Linked DNA regions of Mus musculus. Each later gene encodes a partner of the first gene's protein in a complex. Links are inferred from orthologs where the notes say so. Each region holds a gene or a part of one and is shown on either strand. Other genes may lie near its edges.

What was found. The genes of interacting proteins can lie anywhere in the genome.
Region 2: the proteins of Slc3a2 (region 1) and Slc7a11 are in contact, whole or in part, in a cryo-EM structure (PDB 7P9V), measured with the Homo sapiens proteins. The link is inferred for Mus musculus from reciprocal best matches to the Homo sapiens genes SLC3A2 and SLC7A11. Residues at the interface, in NP_002385.3 of Homo sapiens: Glu167, Leu170, Ala173, Trp178, Thr181, Arg182, Phe189, Trp190, Trp193, Met196, Leu197, Gly199, Ala200, Ile203, Ile204, Ala207, Arg209, Cys210, Glu212, Leu213, Lys299, Arg534, Gln559; in NP_055146.1 of Homo sapiens: Leu151, Phe154, Phe155, Ile156, Gln157, Cys158, Glu159, Pro161, Leu163, Ala164, Leu167, Ile168, Ala170, Val171, Thr174, Val175, Val178, Gln217, Gln219, Val360, His373, Thr487, Gln489, Ile490, Ile491, Glu493, Val494, Val495.

What each region holds. Positions count from the first base shown.
Region 1 is NC_000085.6:8,709,125-8,717,004, forward strand, and holds the start of Slc3a2 (4F2 cell-surface antigen heavy chain), read right to left. Parts: upstream 4,774-7,880; 5' UTR 4,629-4,773; coding exon of another isoform or gene 4,624-4,628; coding exon 4,218-4,623; intron 3,780-4,217; coding exon 3,606-3,779; intron 2,805-3,605; coding exon 2,710-2,804; intron 1,172-2,709; exon of another isoform or gene 857-1,171; coding exon of another isoform or gene 851-856; intron 660-850; coding exon 591-659; intron 485-590; coding exon 426-484; intron 287-425; coding exon 106-286; intron 22-105; coding exon 1-21. UniProt on the Homo sapiens protein: Acts as a chaperone that facilitates biogenesis and trafficking of functional transporters heterodimers to the plasma membrane.
Region 2 is NC_000069.6:50,439,199-50,447,205, forward strand, and holds the start of Slc7a11 (cystine/glutamate transporter), read right to left. Parts: upstream 4,416-8,007; 5' UTR 4,064-4,415; coding exon 3,787-4,063; intron 1-3,786. UniProt on the Homo sapiens protein: Heterodimer with SLC3A2, that functions as an antiporter by mediating the exchange of extracellular anionic L-cystine and intracellular L-glutamate across the cellular plasma membrane.

The DNA.
Region 1 (7,880 bases):
GAGGAGTCCTGCTTGCGACACCTGCAGGAGGATACACCTTTGAGCATGTCCACCCTTCATCTACCACTTCCCACCTTCCCCTAAACCCACCAGCATGCTACTTACACTCCAGCTGCACCATTGGCTGCCAGTGGCATTCAAAAACCTAGTGACTAGGGATTCAGTACGCTCCCCAGTGAAAGTGGAATTTGACAGGTAGGAGCTGGTCAACAGCAGGTCGCTGGTGGATTCAAGTATGTTGACAATTTGCTGCAGGTCAGAGGACTCAGTCCCTGCAATCAAAAGCCTGCACAAAGCAAGGATAGGAGTGTGATTAGAAAATGTCAGGAGATAAAGAATAAAAGAGAAGAGTTCTCGAGACTAGGAAACTCGCCTCTCGAGGCTCTCACAATGGGCTCAGCCAGGCAGGGGTGCTGGGTACCTACCTGTCCTCACTTAAGTTCTTGGTGATATTCTGCCACTCAGCCAAGTACAAGGGTGCATTCTAGTAGAGAAAAGCAGAGTCAGAACAGGGAACACCACCTCGCCGTGGCTGAGACCCACTCTTCTCACCACAGCTTTTTGCCTCTCAATGCAGAAAGGGCACTCACCATCAGCTTTCCCACATCCCGGAATTGGAAACCATCCACACCGTCCTGCAACCAAGAACTCAGAGCTTCCTACAGGGGACAAAAGAACAGGCAAGATCAACATACAAGCAAGCCCTCACCTACCTCAAATTTCCCTGGGACCTAGAGTAAACAGGGTTCAGTCTCCCAGTGTCAAAGGTTAGCCCTTGGTGCCCCACCCATGCATTTACTGTGTAATAGCATTTGTCTATTTTCTGTCTTGCCTTTGGCAAATCACATACCTTCATTTTTAACAGCTACAGAAATGACCCAAGAGAAAACATGCACGCACAGCTCTAACACTTAACACTTAGGATGTGGGGTGAAAATGCCCTCAAATTGGAGATGAAGAAATTGGCTGAGAGAAGACGCGGCCAAGATTGTAACTGGGGAAGAGCACAGATAGGACCCTGAGGCAAATGTACTTGCTCCTCTCTTTGTTTCCTGAGGTTTAGAGTGTATGCTCTTCTACAAGAGCTGCTGGGAGCAAGGCCAAGAATGAGAAGTTTGAAATTCAAAACACAGCCTGAGGGCTGTTGAGACATCTGAAAAGAAGCCAGCTCTGTAGAACAGGCCCAGGCCTGAAGGTTTAAACCCTGGCTTCAACTGACAGCACAGAACCCAGCCCCACACTTCCTTTCTTCCCTTCTCACTTGCTCTCCCATCTTCACCTGAGGCTACCACCTGAAAGACATATCAGTAACTTTTCTTTCTGACTTCAGACCAGTCTCCAACTCACTGCATAACTGAGGCTGTGCTTAACTTCTCATCCTCCTGCCTCCCGCCAACTCTCAAGTGTAGGCTACAGGCTTTCTCTACTACTTTGAACTCTCTTATCAGTAACTTTTAACAAACTTCCTATTAAGTATAGGATCCCAGCACATGGGAGTTTAGGATTACCCTCAGCAATGGAGATCTAGAACACAAATCTCGCAGCAACTAGCAAGAGCCAAACTGGGTGATTATAGGAGTCTCCCCCACATACTTAAGAATCCAAAAGTGTCAGCACCTGCCTTTCCTTTGTTATGTCCACCCTGGACCTGCCAGTGTCCTAAAACGTAGGCATCAGAAGCTGGGATGACATTAGAAGCTTTACCCTAGCCTGGTGAGTACCAAGTTTAAGCCACTACCTCAAGGTAAAGGCAGACCAGAGAAGACTCCTTGAGACTTCCGGTTTGGAATACATGAAGTGACTGCATCTCAGTTTCTTCAGTAACAGATTGTCAGTAACAGACAATATTTTGTGGGTTTACTAAACAAATTAGAAAACAGCTATAAAATACTTGGGACAGGAGGCTAGAGAGAGAGCTCAGTGGTAATAGCTTCCGCAGAGTCAAGAGCTTGCCCCTTTTGCAGAGGAGCCAGGTTCAGTTCCCAGCACCTACGTAGCAGCAGCTCACAACTATCTGTAACTTCAGCTCCAGGGGATCCAATATCCTTTCTTGACTGTCCAATACCCTTTCTATTTTCTGTCTTGCCTCTGGAGACTCCTATAATCACCCAATTTGGCTCTTGCTAGTTGCTGGGAGATTTGTGTTCTAGATCTCCATTGCTGAGGATAACCTTAAACTCCCAAGTGCTGGGGTACCAAACATGCACATAGTGCACAAACACTCATGCATAAAAACAAATCTTAAAAAGCATTCATAGTGGAGTTAACTCTTTAAAAAATAATAAAATATGGGGGAAGATAAAATACCAGATACACAGTAAGACTCTAGTACTTATAATTTCAGACTGGGCTCAGTTCCAAATACATCAAACAAAAACTGGGAAACCAGTCAGGTCAGGGTTCCCACAGAGAAAGAAAAGACTTCCTATCACAAAAAGAAAAATTAAACTTCCAGTTCCAGACTGACATCTGAGAAATTCCCTTCCTGGCACAGCCTCACTTCTAGAGTAAAGGAAACACATACACACACACACACACACACAAAGCAGTCAGAACAGAAACAAGAAGAACACCGTGCACCTGGGCCTATCCCTCCGGCTATGGGAAGAGGTATTCCTGCTTGGGAGAACCACACAGTGCACAGGAGGCTTGCTGTGAATAAATCCACACAGCACCAACATCTGTATGCTGTCGGCCATAAAACCTCACCTTCATTTTGGTGGCTACAATGTCAGCCTGAGCAGGGAGGAACCACGCATTCTGGCCCTGGTAGTTGGGAGTGAGGTCCAAAATGATGTGAATGCCTAGAAAAATAACGAGTTGAGAGAACTCCTTTGGGGAAGAAGAGGAAACAAGGAACTTGAACACAGGTTACTAGGTGAACCTACATACGGTTTGCACAGAATCTGAAGGAAACCCACAAAAGCCCTCAGGTGGTTTTATACTAGAGCAGTTCCTCCTCCGCCCACACACACACACACACACAAGTTTCCATACTGAGGTTTTGGTTTCTTTCTTATTTTCCCCTCCCATGAAGTCAGGGTTCTGTGTATGTGGGCGGGCTGCCTGAGGATAAATAAGCCCCTACATCTCCTTCCCAAGTGTGGGGTTATAGGCACATGCTGCTTGTGTTGTGCTGAGGAATCAAACTCAGGTCTTCATGGATCCTAGACAAGCACTCTTACAAACTGAGCTACGTTGTCAGCCCTCTATAGTGAACTCTAAAGCAGCATTTGAATCTCTTCTATATATAGGATCTACTTTATACATTTAAAAGCCATTTATTTTATCGAGCCATGGTGACACACTTAAGTCTAGCACTCGGGACCAGGGGAGCTCTGTAAACTCTCATCCGGCCTGGTCATGGTAGTCAGGTACAGGCCAACCAATTACATGGTGAGACCCTACCTGAGAACCAAAACCAAAATAAATACATAAAAATTACGCTCACGCATGAAGCACATTTTTTAGTGTAAATCATAACATATTCCCCCTTGTGCCTGACACAAAAAAACTGAGCCAGTTAGGAGAAAAATCAGACAAAAACTCTATCCTGTTTCTGGGCCAGAATGCCAAACCCTTTCTAGTTCCTTAGAAAGACCTACTCTTTTTCTTGGCACTTTGTAGAAGGTCTTTAAAATCTTCCTGGGAGCCCAAAGTGGGATTAATCTGTTTCAGGTCGGTTTCATTGATTTCATCCTTCTGGTTCTTGTGAATTGGGCCTAACACCAGGCCCTTCACCTTCAGGGTGCTCAAGTACTCCAGATGGCTCTTCAGACCTAGGAGGAGAGGGTTGGGTTAACCAATAGGGCATGAAAAGCCTCCAGCCTCCACATTCTCTCCACCACTTCCCGACTCCCTCTGACGCGGGTTGGATCATGAGACAAAGTAGCTGACGCAAGGAGTCTCACACATTACTTCAGAAACTGGTTTGAACTGGCTCAGGGCCGCGTGGTTGGGGGAGGGGAGAGGAGAAAGATGATGTGCTGAGTCAGGCACCCTTAGGAAGAAGTAGGGGTCCGGCTAGCGTTTTTTTTTTTTTTTTTTTAAAGAAAGGGGGGGGGATTTTTGCCAGGGAGTCGTCCCAAAAAAAATAGGTTGCAGTAAAGAATCACCAGCGTTCTAGAGAAGACGAGGAGGAAGGAAAAAAGCAGCAGAATGCCCGATTAAACGAGGGATTCATGGGGGCAAGGGATGAGGGTGCACACCCTACTCACCAGCTATGCCTCCCGCATCCCGGCCTACAAAGGCCTGAAGGTCGCCGATGCGGTAGAGGGCGCCCTTGTGCCACCACCTCTGTACAGGCAGCTCACGGCAGCGCGGCGCCCGAACGATGATAACCACGGCGCCCGCCAGCATGCCCAGCCAACCGAGCCAGAAGAGCAGCAGCAGCGCCCAGCGGGTGCGCACCCAGCCAGGGCTGCCCGCTACCTTCAGTAGCTCCTCCTTGGATAAGCCGGTGAACTTGACCCCGGCCTCCGTCTCGTCCTCCGCCACCTTGATCTTCACCAGACCGTTCTTCTCCCCGGCCGCCGCCCCGTCCGCTGCATTCATGGGCTGCTTCTCCGGTTCTAGCTCGTTCAGCTCCACATCTTTCATGTCCACTTCGGTGTCCTGGCTCATGGTGCCTGCAGAAACGGTGACACGACACGGCCTGTAGTCAGTGAGGCAGCTCTAATCCTGCCTGGATCCCCGTTCAGAGAGGCGTCCCGTGGCCGTGAGGCTAGCAGAGCTTCCTAACTGCTTCTGCCGCTGGGCGGGTGTGGCGGCGGGGAAGTGACCCAGGACTCCGCCCCGGTCCGCCTCTTAAAGAGATGCAGAGAAGTCTTTTCGCACCTCCAGCCTCGCTGAATACTCCCGTCTATCCCTAACGCTTATTCCTGCAAGAGTCTGGGAAGGGGAGCTTGTGGTCAGAAACCCTTAGAATAACAAACGTGAATTTGTCTTGACCAGGTTTCAAAGCCCCTCCTCCGACCTTCCGGCCCCTTACCCTGCGAGGCCTCTTTTCTCTCCACAAGATGACACCAGTCTCCATCCACATCGTGATCCCTTCGCCCCAAGCACGGCTCAGGCTGATCTCCCCAACTTCACACAGACCTTGGCACTACATCTCACTTCTGCTTTACGTACATCTTCTCATACTCCGGACTTAGCTGAGTTCCTGGATTCTCCTCGGGGCTTACACGTACTCACCTTTCAAGACTCCTTGAATTTAATTCCTCAGGCAGCAACTATTTACTGGGCACCCACTCCAATCCTTTGCTTCATCAACTGCATAGGATCAACTCTAATCCGTTCTTCTTGATTTTAAAATTCAACTGCAGAATTGAAGTGGTCACTACCCTTATTATCTTACCCTAGTTACTAGCAAGAATGTTGGATTACTGGGAATCAGGCATCCAGAAGAGATTAATGGGGCTGTAATAAACATTCCGAAGGTATTGAGGCACCTACCCTTTTAATATACAAGCTGTTCTAACTCTTTTTTTCTTTTTTTTTTAACTATTTACTATTTTTTAACTATTTACTCACTTATTATATGTGACTACACTGTAGCTGTCTTCAGATGCACCAGAAGAACTATTTACTCACTTATTATATGTGACTACACTGTAGCTGTCTTCAGATGTACCAGAAGAGGGCGTCAGAACTCGTTACAGATGGTTGTGAGCCACCATGTGGTTCCTGGGAATTGAACTCGGGACCTTTGAAAGAGCAGTGAGTGCTCTTAACTGCTGAGCCATCTCTCCAGCCCCTGTTCTAACTCTTAACCACCTTGCAATAACTCTCAAACCCTCTAGTGTGCCGGGCTACATCAGTTGACTATGCTAGGCCCTGGAACCAGCTTAGTTCCCTCACACTTTGAAAGTTTCTCAAATTCCCCCGGCAGAGGTCCTTGGCAAGAGGAAGGGTAAATGGGGCAGACTGGGTTAGCAGCAGGGACAAGTGAAAAGTGAACATCAACTCTAGGAGGTGCCAACAATTTCAGGAACTTTGTGTTCCAATTAGGTTATTTTCAGAGAGAATCGGAAGGAAACAACAGGTCCTTTCTCCCTCTCCCCACGTAGGCCGGCAGCCAAGATTGCTATGTATTTGGAAGAAAGCAGAAGCCAAGGCCAGAACAGTAGAGAGGAAGGGATATGAAAAGTCTCATCACCTGCCACTGTCCTTTTGAATTCCCAAAGTCCTCCCCGGCCTCACTAGAGAAAAGTCTATACACCAGCTCCTAGGAAGAGGGAAGAGGCTAAGGGTCATGCTAGTGTTCATAGTTGATAAGAGTCCTACCTTGCCCTGGGCATGACAGATAAGAAAAGTCCAATGCAGAGTTTATACACAGCGTGAAAGCTCAAGGTTTGTGGACTGTGAAGCAGAAGCACTCCTTGAAAGGGTTTGATGAAATGCTCATTAGAAACATGGTGTTTCAATCAACCAAACTGAAAACAAGATGGATCAAACCAACCAGATGTTCATCTGGAGCCGGGCGTGGTGGCGCACACCTTTGATCCCAGCACTCGGGAGGCAGAGGCAGGTGGATCTCTGAGTTCGAGGCCAGCCTGGTCTACAGAGTGAGTTCCAGGACAGCCATGGCTACACAGAGAAACCCTGTCTCAAAAAACCAAACCAAAGGGCTGGTGAGATGGCTCAGTGGGTAAGAGCACCCTACTGCTCTTCTGAAGGTCCGGAGTTCAAATCCCAGCAACCACATGGTGGCTCACAACCATCCATTAACGAGAGCGTCTGAAGACAGCTACAGTGTACTTACATATAATGAATAAATAAATCTTTAAAAAAAAAAAGACCAAAAAGAGAAAAAAGATGTTCCTCTGGTGAAGGTGCCTAGCCAGCAAACCTGAGCTCACTCCTCAGTGATCAGTGAAGATCAGTGAAAGGAGAACTGATTCCCAGGAGCTGTCTTCTGCCCTCCACACATGCGCACTGCCCTCCACACATGCGCACTGCCCTCCACAAAGTAAGTAAAATTTAAGGTAACACAGTATCTCCCCGCCCCCACCTCCAAGTGGCAGAAATCTATTCCTAAGCATCTTAGAGAGGAGACGTGAGCTCCCATCAGTCTTTTCAGCAGCACCCTTCCTAATCACTACTGTTCAGCCACAGCAGCTTTCTAGCACCTGCCAGAGTCACGACACACAGGGTGTTTCCATTCTTAATGCCTCCTGTGCATGCTGTCCTGCTGTTTGGATCTTCCTGCTAAGTTACTCTTCCTCCTTCAAGCTCTGACTCAAGTGACAGCATCTCTCAATGCTCTACGTAGATTGCTTTCCCTTACCAGGGATAGAACACAATAACTAACACAGTTGACTATATAAACTTAAAGGACTGACGATGCAGTTCAGAAGACCGGTGCTTTCCTACCATGTGCAAGGCCCAGGGTTCAATCTGCAACACCAAAGCAGTGAAGGATGAAGGACTGGGGGTGGAGCTCAGCCAGTGCTTGCTTAGCATTTGAAAGCCCTGAGTTCTATCCTTAGCACCACATAAACCAGGCACAGAGGAGGCACAGGCCTAAAACCCCAGGAAGTGGAGGCATGAAAAGTTCAAAGTAGGGGCTGGTGAGATGGCTCAGTGGGTAAGAGCACCCGACTGCTCTTCCGAAGGTCAGGAGTTCAAATCCCAGCAACCACATGGTGGCTCACAACCATCTGTAACGAGATCTGACGCCCTCTTCTGGAGTGTCTGAGGACAGCTACAGTGTACTTACATATAACAAATAAATAAATAAATAAATCTTAAAAAAAAAAAAAAAGAAAAAAAAAAGAAAAGTTCAAAGTAACCCTCAACCACGCGACAAGTTTGAGGCCAGCCTGGGCGACATAAGACCCTGACTCAAAAACAAACAGCAAAGACAAAACTGGGGTAAA
Region 2 (8,007 bases), on another chromosome or scaffold:
ATCCACCTGGGGACTCACAACCATCTGTGTCTCCAGTTCCAGGGGATCCAAGGTCCTCCCCTGGCCTCCTTGAGCACCAGGCATGTGCAGAAGCAAAACACCCACACACATAAAAACCAAGAAAATGAACTGAAAAAAAAATGTAAGGAAAGGAATTGTGTTTGAAATGGTACCTACAAACATGATACAGAATGTGTGGTCAGAAACCAGAGGATAAAGGAAAAGTAAAGGCAGATGTCAATGATGCTGACCTATTATTTGAGTAACACCACCACCTCATACTAAGACAAAGTATTCCCTCAAACTGGACTCACTATGGTATTTTAATAATTCTGTGGCATATCAAAATATAGATGATCCGTTCTTTGGGAAAGAAGAGAGTACATGCCGTGTGAGATTTCAGCTAATTGATACAATATGCTTTGTCAGCAAAACGAATCTTGACTCAGTTGTACTGTTCCTAGAAATGGTTATCCTGGATGATGCTTTTGAGATGTACACCCAGACGGTTAAAAGAATGACTGTTGTAAAATAGAAATTCCATTATGTACAGTCATTTATGTAATGAAAATAAATTATAAACTAAGATGTGAGTGTTTAAAAAAAAATAACACTCGTATAAGATTGGGAAAGTTATATTTAAATTCCCCAGGCCCTAAGTTTCGCACCCTTTGAAGTGAAAACATGAATTTTTCATCTCATAAAAGCATTCTGGATGTAACGGTGGGAAAGTGGCACACAGATAGGATTGACTGACACAGCTAACACACCACATGATGTTACTTTACTTACCAACTGCTTCATAGTTAGGAAGGACATAAAAAATAAATCTTAATTTCATCCAAAAGTCAATTAATCAATCAACCAAACAATCAAACACCTGTGTCTACATGGCTTAGCGCTCAAACATTTATGCCCAAGCACCTAAAGGGGCTCCATGTGTGGAAAGTAATTGCTCATCAGTAGTGCCTCCTATAGATGCTCAAAATAACTAGGATTTGAAAAATTTGCCAGGGTCACCTGGAGGATATTTTTTAAGAGTGAACAAATGAGAAAAGACACGAAGACCACACCCTAGACTCATCTTCGGAGACCAGACTCCATCCAAAAGAACAATCCAAGAAGTTGTATTGCTTTCCAATGCTCCAGGTGCTAAAGTGGTGGCGTCACGGACAGCTACTTAAGTACTTCATTAACTTAGACCTAAAGACAATTAGCAAACTTCTTTTGGAAATAATGGTCACCATGTTGGTAGATTGTCCAGAAAAGCAACCTATATAACCTTGTTATTGGAAAGACTCTTAAAGACCTTGAAATTTACTGTCAGGGAATCAATGGCCAGACCTCTGTATGCTTTGCCCTAGGTTTAAATTGAGTTCCGGGGGAATGGAATTTTCATTTAAAGGTCTCAAGCTCCATAGCTATGTGCCCAGATGGAAAGAAGTTCAAAGCAGGCTATAAAAGTCCACGTGTTGACCTTGGTGCTCAAAATGTTGTAAAACCAAACACAGATGCTCCTCCCCTTCCAGAGGGGTAACTTTGCCAAAACATGTTACATTCTAAATGCCAGTCAGTGGGAACTGTATGTACCACACATAGCCTAGGAACCATCCTACACAGTTGTCTGGAGCTAGACAACATTATCCTATAAAAGTTCATTTTATAACGGTTTAAGACAGCTCAAGTAATTTATTGAATAACCAATTACTAGCATCTACCACTGGAAATTTAAAAATAAATATATCATATACTGAACCATCTTAAGTTGGGGACCATCTAGGTCCACATTCTTGACTTGAAAATGTTTACACCCCTAAGTTCTAGAGTTTTAATAAAAGAAGAATTTTCCCCTTATATCTCGCTTTGCTTCTTATTTGTGAAGACTTTGTGACAAAAAGCTGCCAGTAATTTAAGTAGCAGTAACGTCTCTGAAGCGGGCAGTCAAACGCCCACTCCAAGCTACATCACAACCCTTTAGCTCTGTAGTTTCTTGAGCTTCCAACAAAGATGGCGGACTTATTCATAAGCACATTATCACCATACAAGTCAGTGTGCCTTTAACTAGCTCAGCATTCCGAGCATTTTATTTTACAGCATCTGAATAAGCATTGATTGTGTGCGAAAATCAAATCACACAGTGGGAGCTGCCTGTGTACAAGTATGCAAAGTTCAAGGAACTGGTTGTAGTTTTTCTGATTAGATATTGATTTATTCTAAATATATCAAGTACTGTAAGACGCTTGAAGCCTGAGGGTACACAGTCATTTAAGATCAACAATTGAGTTTCTCCTTGCTTATCTGAACCTGCATATGTCAGAACCACTTTAATATTAATAATGATAAGGATTCTGTTCGAGTTTTTAATAACTGTAAAGAATGAAGAAAAGGGACAGCTGTCACCAAACATCTCATAAAGCATAATCTATTCACACAAATGATGTTCCCAAGTTCTCTAGGTTCGTAAAGTAATCTCTTCATAGATCTTTCTATAGCAAGACTGCTTTCAAGATTATTTGAAATGCCCCCTTCCTAAAAACAGATATGTGAGTTCTCTAGGCAGGAAACTTTCCCTCAATCAGTATTTAAAGTATCACAAGACCTGGAATGAAAGAAGGAATGGAACAAGAGTTTGCACTTGGTCCCAGAAGAACTTGGTTCCAGGTTAACAAAGTAACTCCCAAGTGTAGGCTACTTTGGAACCAAAGTATTGCCTGGTAATATAAGTCAAATTTTAAAATAATTGGCCATTCCCAGGTTCTTGTGGCCTTTACAATGAACTTGAAAGGAGTTTTATGTTGATTTGCCCTCCTGATCAAGGAGCAATTATTTCCTTTGCAATATTAACCCTCAATCCCATCAGAGAAACGTACATTTTAAAGAGAAAAAAATAATAAGCACAGTAATACCAGTTCAGGTTAGATGAACTTCATTGAATGGGCAGAGAAAGTATCTGTTTCCCCAGAGACCTAGTAAAATACAGATGAAGAAAACAGATCCAGGCAAGGAGGGAAGACTGACACCCAAGTGAAGCTTGCAAACAAATAACGAGAAATTATGAGAAATGTCCTTAAAGGCAGTAAGAAGGAAAAAGAAAAAAAAAAAAAACAAGGGGAAAAAAGTTGAAACCTTTGCCCCATTTATGGAGACGGAGGAGACACATCAAACACATATCTTCCCAAGGACTTCTGAAAGCATAGTATTAGAAACGGACAAGCCTACGAATTTAAAATATTAAAAAAGGCAGAGAATGCCACCCATTTGTTTAGCAAGTAAAAGGCCCGTGACAGTGTTCCGAACGTTCAGTTCCGCGTGTAAATAGGCCACACTGGCTGCACCGCACAGGTGTTTCTTCCAGCGAGCCAGCTGCCAGAACTATGCTCTAAACAAGACTCACAAACCCAAGCCCTCTGCACGGAAGGAAGGCTTGGTTTTTTGGGTCATCAAAGTTAGGTTTTTTTTGTTTTTTGTTTTTTTGTTTTTTGTTTTTTTTTTTTTTTTTCCTTCTCTCAGCAAACCAGAAAAAAAAAAAAAAAAAGCTGCCAGAGTCTGTCTCAGGCAGGAAAGCAGAGTATAGCCTGCAGGAAGGAATCTGAGAGGGTTCAGTCTTGTGCCAACAGTGGACAGTGTGTTTGGGTAGTGCACATACCTGAACAACAACAACAACAAAAATTCCAAATATTTCCTGTAGTATTTGCCCATTCATTTACTCCTCAGAAATAACCCTTCGCTCTCCCAGAGAGCCACACAGCTACACACACTCACACCCCAGAGAAGAAGCGCACTCACCAAAAAGTGACAGTACTCCACAGGCAGACCAGAAAACCAGGGACATGCCCACGCTGCCCGTGTTCTGGAGTATGCCCTTGGGGGAGATGAAGATGCCTGATCCGATGACGGTGCCGATGATGATGGAGACCCCCCTCAGCAAAGTGATCTTCTTTTTCAGAACTACCTTCTCCTGCCCAGGTGGCTCTTGGTCCCCCATGGAGGGCAGCCTCCCGCTCATATTGCCCTGCAGGTAACCTCCTTTGGAGATGGTGGCCACAACTGGCTTTCTGACCATGGCAGTGTCACACCAGAGGAGGGGGATGAAAAAGAAAACAGAGGGGGAAAAACAAAACAAGACAAAATAAAACAAAACAAAACAAACCCTTTTAACTTGTTTCTCTAAGAAGTGACTGATCACTGTTCGGTCGTGACTTCCCCTTTGCTATCACCGACTGGCTCTACACTATTGTGTCCACAGGTGAGAACTCAGAGGTGTGTTTCAGCCTTCGCTGGCTCTATAATTACTCCTCTTGCTCCTCGGAGCACCTGTGTGGCACCGGCTCCAGGGGCAGTCAGTTAGCTGCAGCCGCGGCTGCTGCCCTATCATTACACACCAGCTCAGCTTCCTCGTGGAAGGCTCCGTATTTAAGCAACCGCCTGTCACACCAACTTACTGGGCTGCATGATGATGCAAATTCTCCAGGTTTGCATCAGCCACATGAGAAAACTCCAGCTTGAGAAAGCGCCAACATTACTCAGCTCTTTTTTTTTTTTTTTTTTTTTAACAGTAGCCTGTGGGTTGCTCAATGGATCCAAAGCATTTCCCAGAACAAAGCATACTCTTAAAGAGGGGCTTAGCCAATCCAGAAGAAGTAAACAGGGAACCAGGGAATAGACACTGTCCCGGTGACTTTAAGCAGCTCCGCTCTCAGAGAGAGAAAAGAAGTTGGAAAATGAAACAGAAAACAATTACTTCGTTTTAAGGAGTTGCTTCTTAACTTTAAGGCGCGCATAAAAAATGTTGTATTCACAGCTGTTTTGACAATGGAAAGTGCCTTAGGGCTGCTCTGTTTGCAACAGCAAAGTTTATACTTCATAATTTGTATTCTCCTTACTTCCCCGGGTGTTTCCTAGCAACACTGTCAAATCTAATATTTACAAAGTCAGAAAGTTTCTGCACACGAGAGCCGTGGCTACATACAGCTCCGCATGAACAGACACAATTATTTCTTAAGACCTGTAATACAAGGGTGTTTAAGATCACCACCTAAGTTTGAGAAGTTGAAAGATCATAGTGACTGCAGAAAACAGTCTTTTTCTGATTCTTGTCAGCACAGCGTGATTTCCTGAACTAGGTAGAAGGACTCGGTCTTCATTTGCATGTTGCTCCATCGAATTAAAAAGACTCCTCTTTGAATCTTAGGCAATACTTATAATTGCATGAAGACACGCACAGAGCAAGAGCTTGAGAAGGGAGTCCCATTATAATAGTTGGAGAAAGGAAGGAGATGACAGGGCATATTTTTTGGATCTATAAGCTATTCTGATTATAATTTGAAATGTATTACAATCAACAGGTACTAACTTTTAGTTAGCTCAAAGCCGGAAATTTTCGGTGACTGTAACAGAGTGTACAAGTCCATTTCAGAAAGCTAAAAGAATGTGTTTTTTACATAAAGAAATAATGACATCTTAAGGAGATAGAAGTGTTTACTCTGAGCATTCTACAATGGGCACATGTGCTGAAACTTTACACCCTATTCACATACACAGCTTTCATCTTTGTCAGTTAAAAAGAAATTTAAACATATAAAAGTACATTAAAACTTCAAAGTGGGGTTAAAATATTTACATTGAAAAAATTTCTTTTTTTTTAAAAAATTAAACACAAACTTGAAACGTTTTGCTTCTAATCAAGTGTCTTATGTGTAAAATAAAAATAAAAATAAAAAATTACCAAAAGAAAATAAAGCATCTCAGCTATCAGTCTCGGCACCAGGTCCCTGTGGTTTGAATTTAATGAGAAGAATCCCAATGCCATCATTATCCTGAAGCTGTGTTCAGACCCATGATTAAATATGCTTTTGAATCTCGGAATAAAAACAACCAACAGAAAATCTCCGTGGAAGCAAGGTTGGCTGGAGGGGGAGGGGAAAGGGGTAAGGGGAAGGGGTGAAGGATGGGGGGGATGATGGAGGCAGGAAATAACCTGGAAAGGAATCGTGGAAAATGTCAGAGCCTTTCTGCTAGGTCCTTATCTGAGAAAATGCCATGACATAATTGCCTTATCACACGAATAACCGAGGTCACATGACTTCCCTTTTACATGACCTACCCACCTTCTGTGTAATTTGCTTTGGATCTACAAATTATCATTTTTATAAAGCCCAAATTAATACTTTTTTTCAGCGTTTTTATTCCAAAAAAATAATAAATGGGGAAAGTTCCTTACTCAATCCTGTACAGATTCCTCAACAGGAAATCGGAGGACTTCTCCACCGCCTGCCCGCCCTGTTCCATCTCTCCTGTTCTTGCTCAAATGTCCTCTCACATAATTCTCCTGATTAATGAGCATGAGGGACTCTCCCTTCTCTGTTCCATGTCTCCTGTTCTTGAGTGAACTTCCACTCACATAATTCTCCAGATGAATGAGCATAGACAGGGCGCAGGAAGCTTTTGTTTCCTCAAAAGGGAACAATAATTCCAAAGAGATAAAAGTTTAAAGTGAAGCATGAAGACCCCAGGCACCAGTGCTCTGTCCTGGCCATGGCACCAGGCTTTGACCACTAAATTATAAATGGTTGGACTAGTAAGACTGGGGGCTATTAAGACAGGATGTTGGAAACAGTTTAAAGGAGAGAAAAAATGTTCTTCCAATTCTAAATAACATTCTCCTCCTCAGTAATTTTTATAGGAATTTATGGAGAAAAATATTCTAAAATTATACTAATAGCCAAGAAGGTGGTACTATCCTGTATGAGACTGAGATTCCAACTTTCTTCAAAACTGCACACAGTTAATAAAAAACCTTTGTATATCTCTCTGAAACACCTACAATTTTACAAAAATAAAAATTACAGGTTTCAAAGAAAATATTGAATTACCTTTAATGTTAACATGCCTTTATAATCACCAGTGTTAACCTTATAATCAAAGAATTGGTTGGTCTTCAAGTATATGTATGTCATAGAGCAAATACACTTACTGTCTTCCTCCTGCTTTCTGCCTTATTTTGAGCATTTTAGGGATTGTGAATAAATTTTTCAAGGAATGTCCTCAGTTCCTTAAAAGAATCCCACATGTGATATGCAATGCTAGCTAACATGCTATGCTAAAGGTAACAGCCCCATGTGTATAAACGTGGCTGTATAATTTAGGTGTGGCCAATGATTAATAAAACATAATTATTTTTCCAAATGCAGCTCATCAGAATGAGACCTGAGCTGAGGGGAAAGGTCCCCATAAGGATACTTAGTGTTAGTGTCACAGCACTATGGCATCTTGCCAAGAAGGTCAGATTCCTGATCCCTGAAGATCTTCCATTGATCTTCTGATTAGCTACTGAGGTTCCTTGATAGGAATACTGACTAGTACCCCTGTCATACATGGATGGTGGGCTTGAATGTGAAGCATCTAAAAGCAGGTTGTACCATGTGATAGCCATTAGCTAAGTGTAGTTACCAGTCCTGGAAATGTGTTTCACATTTAAAGTTGTATGAGATGACTTCCATAAAAAAGATATTATATGCTTGGTGAAAATTTAGAGAGTCTTCAATATAAAATAGATGAGAGATATATTTTATTTATTATGTTTAAAACAAGAGCATTCTTGTTCTTTCAAAGAGTAAAAACTATGTGTGTATGGTAAGCAGAGAAAAATTCTCCACTAAGTTTGTGCATCTCACCATAATACAGAAGCTATCAATTTTTGCCTCTGAGTAGCCAAGTAATAAATAATTTAGGCTTCATTTTCAGTTTTGGTCTCTGTTCAGTGTTCTTCACTTATGTATGTAAGTGTGTATGAACATGTGTTAAAACCTTTTAAAAAGGGTAAGACTCATTCTTAGCTTCTGTGTAGTTTTTTCAGCTGTTTGTCTGGTAGTGTTGAGTCTGCAGTCAGAATGGAGCAAGACAAAACCATTGCAATGGCTCGAGGTAGGGATTTTTACAAATACAGTTTTATTAAAATACACCCATAACCACATATTAATCTATTTCTAAAACTCCTTTCTCATCACA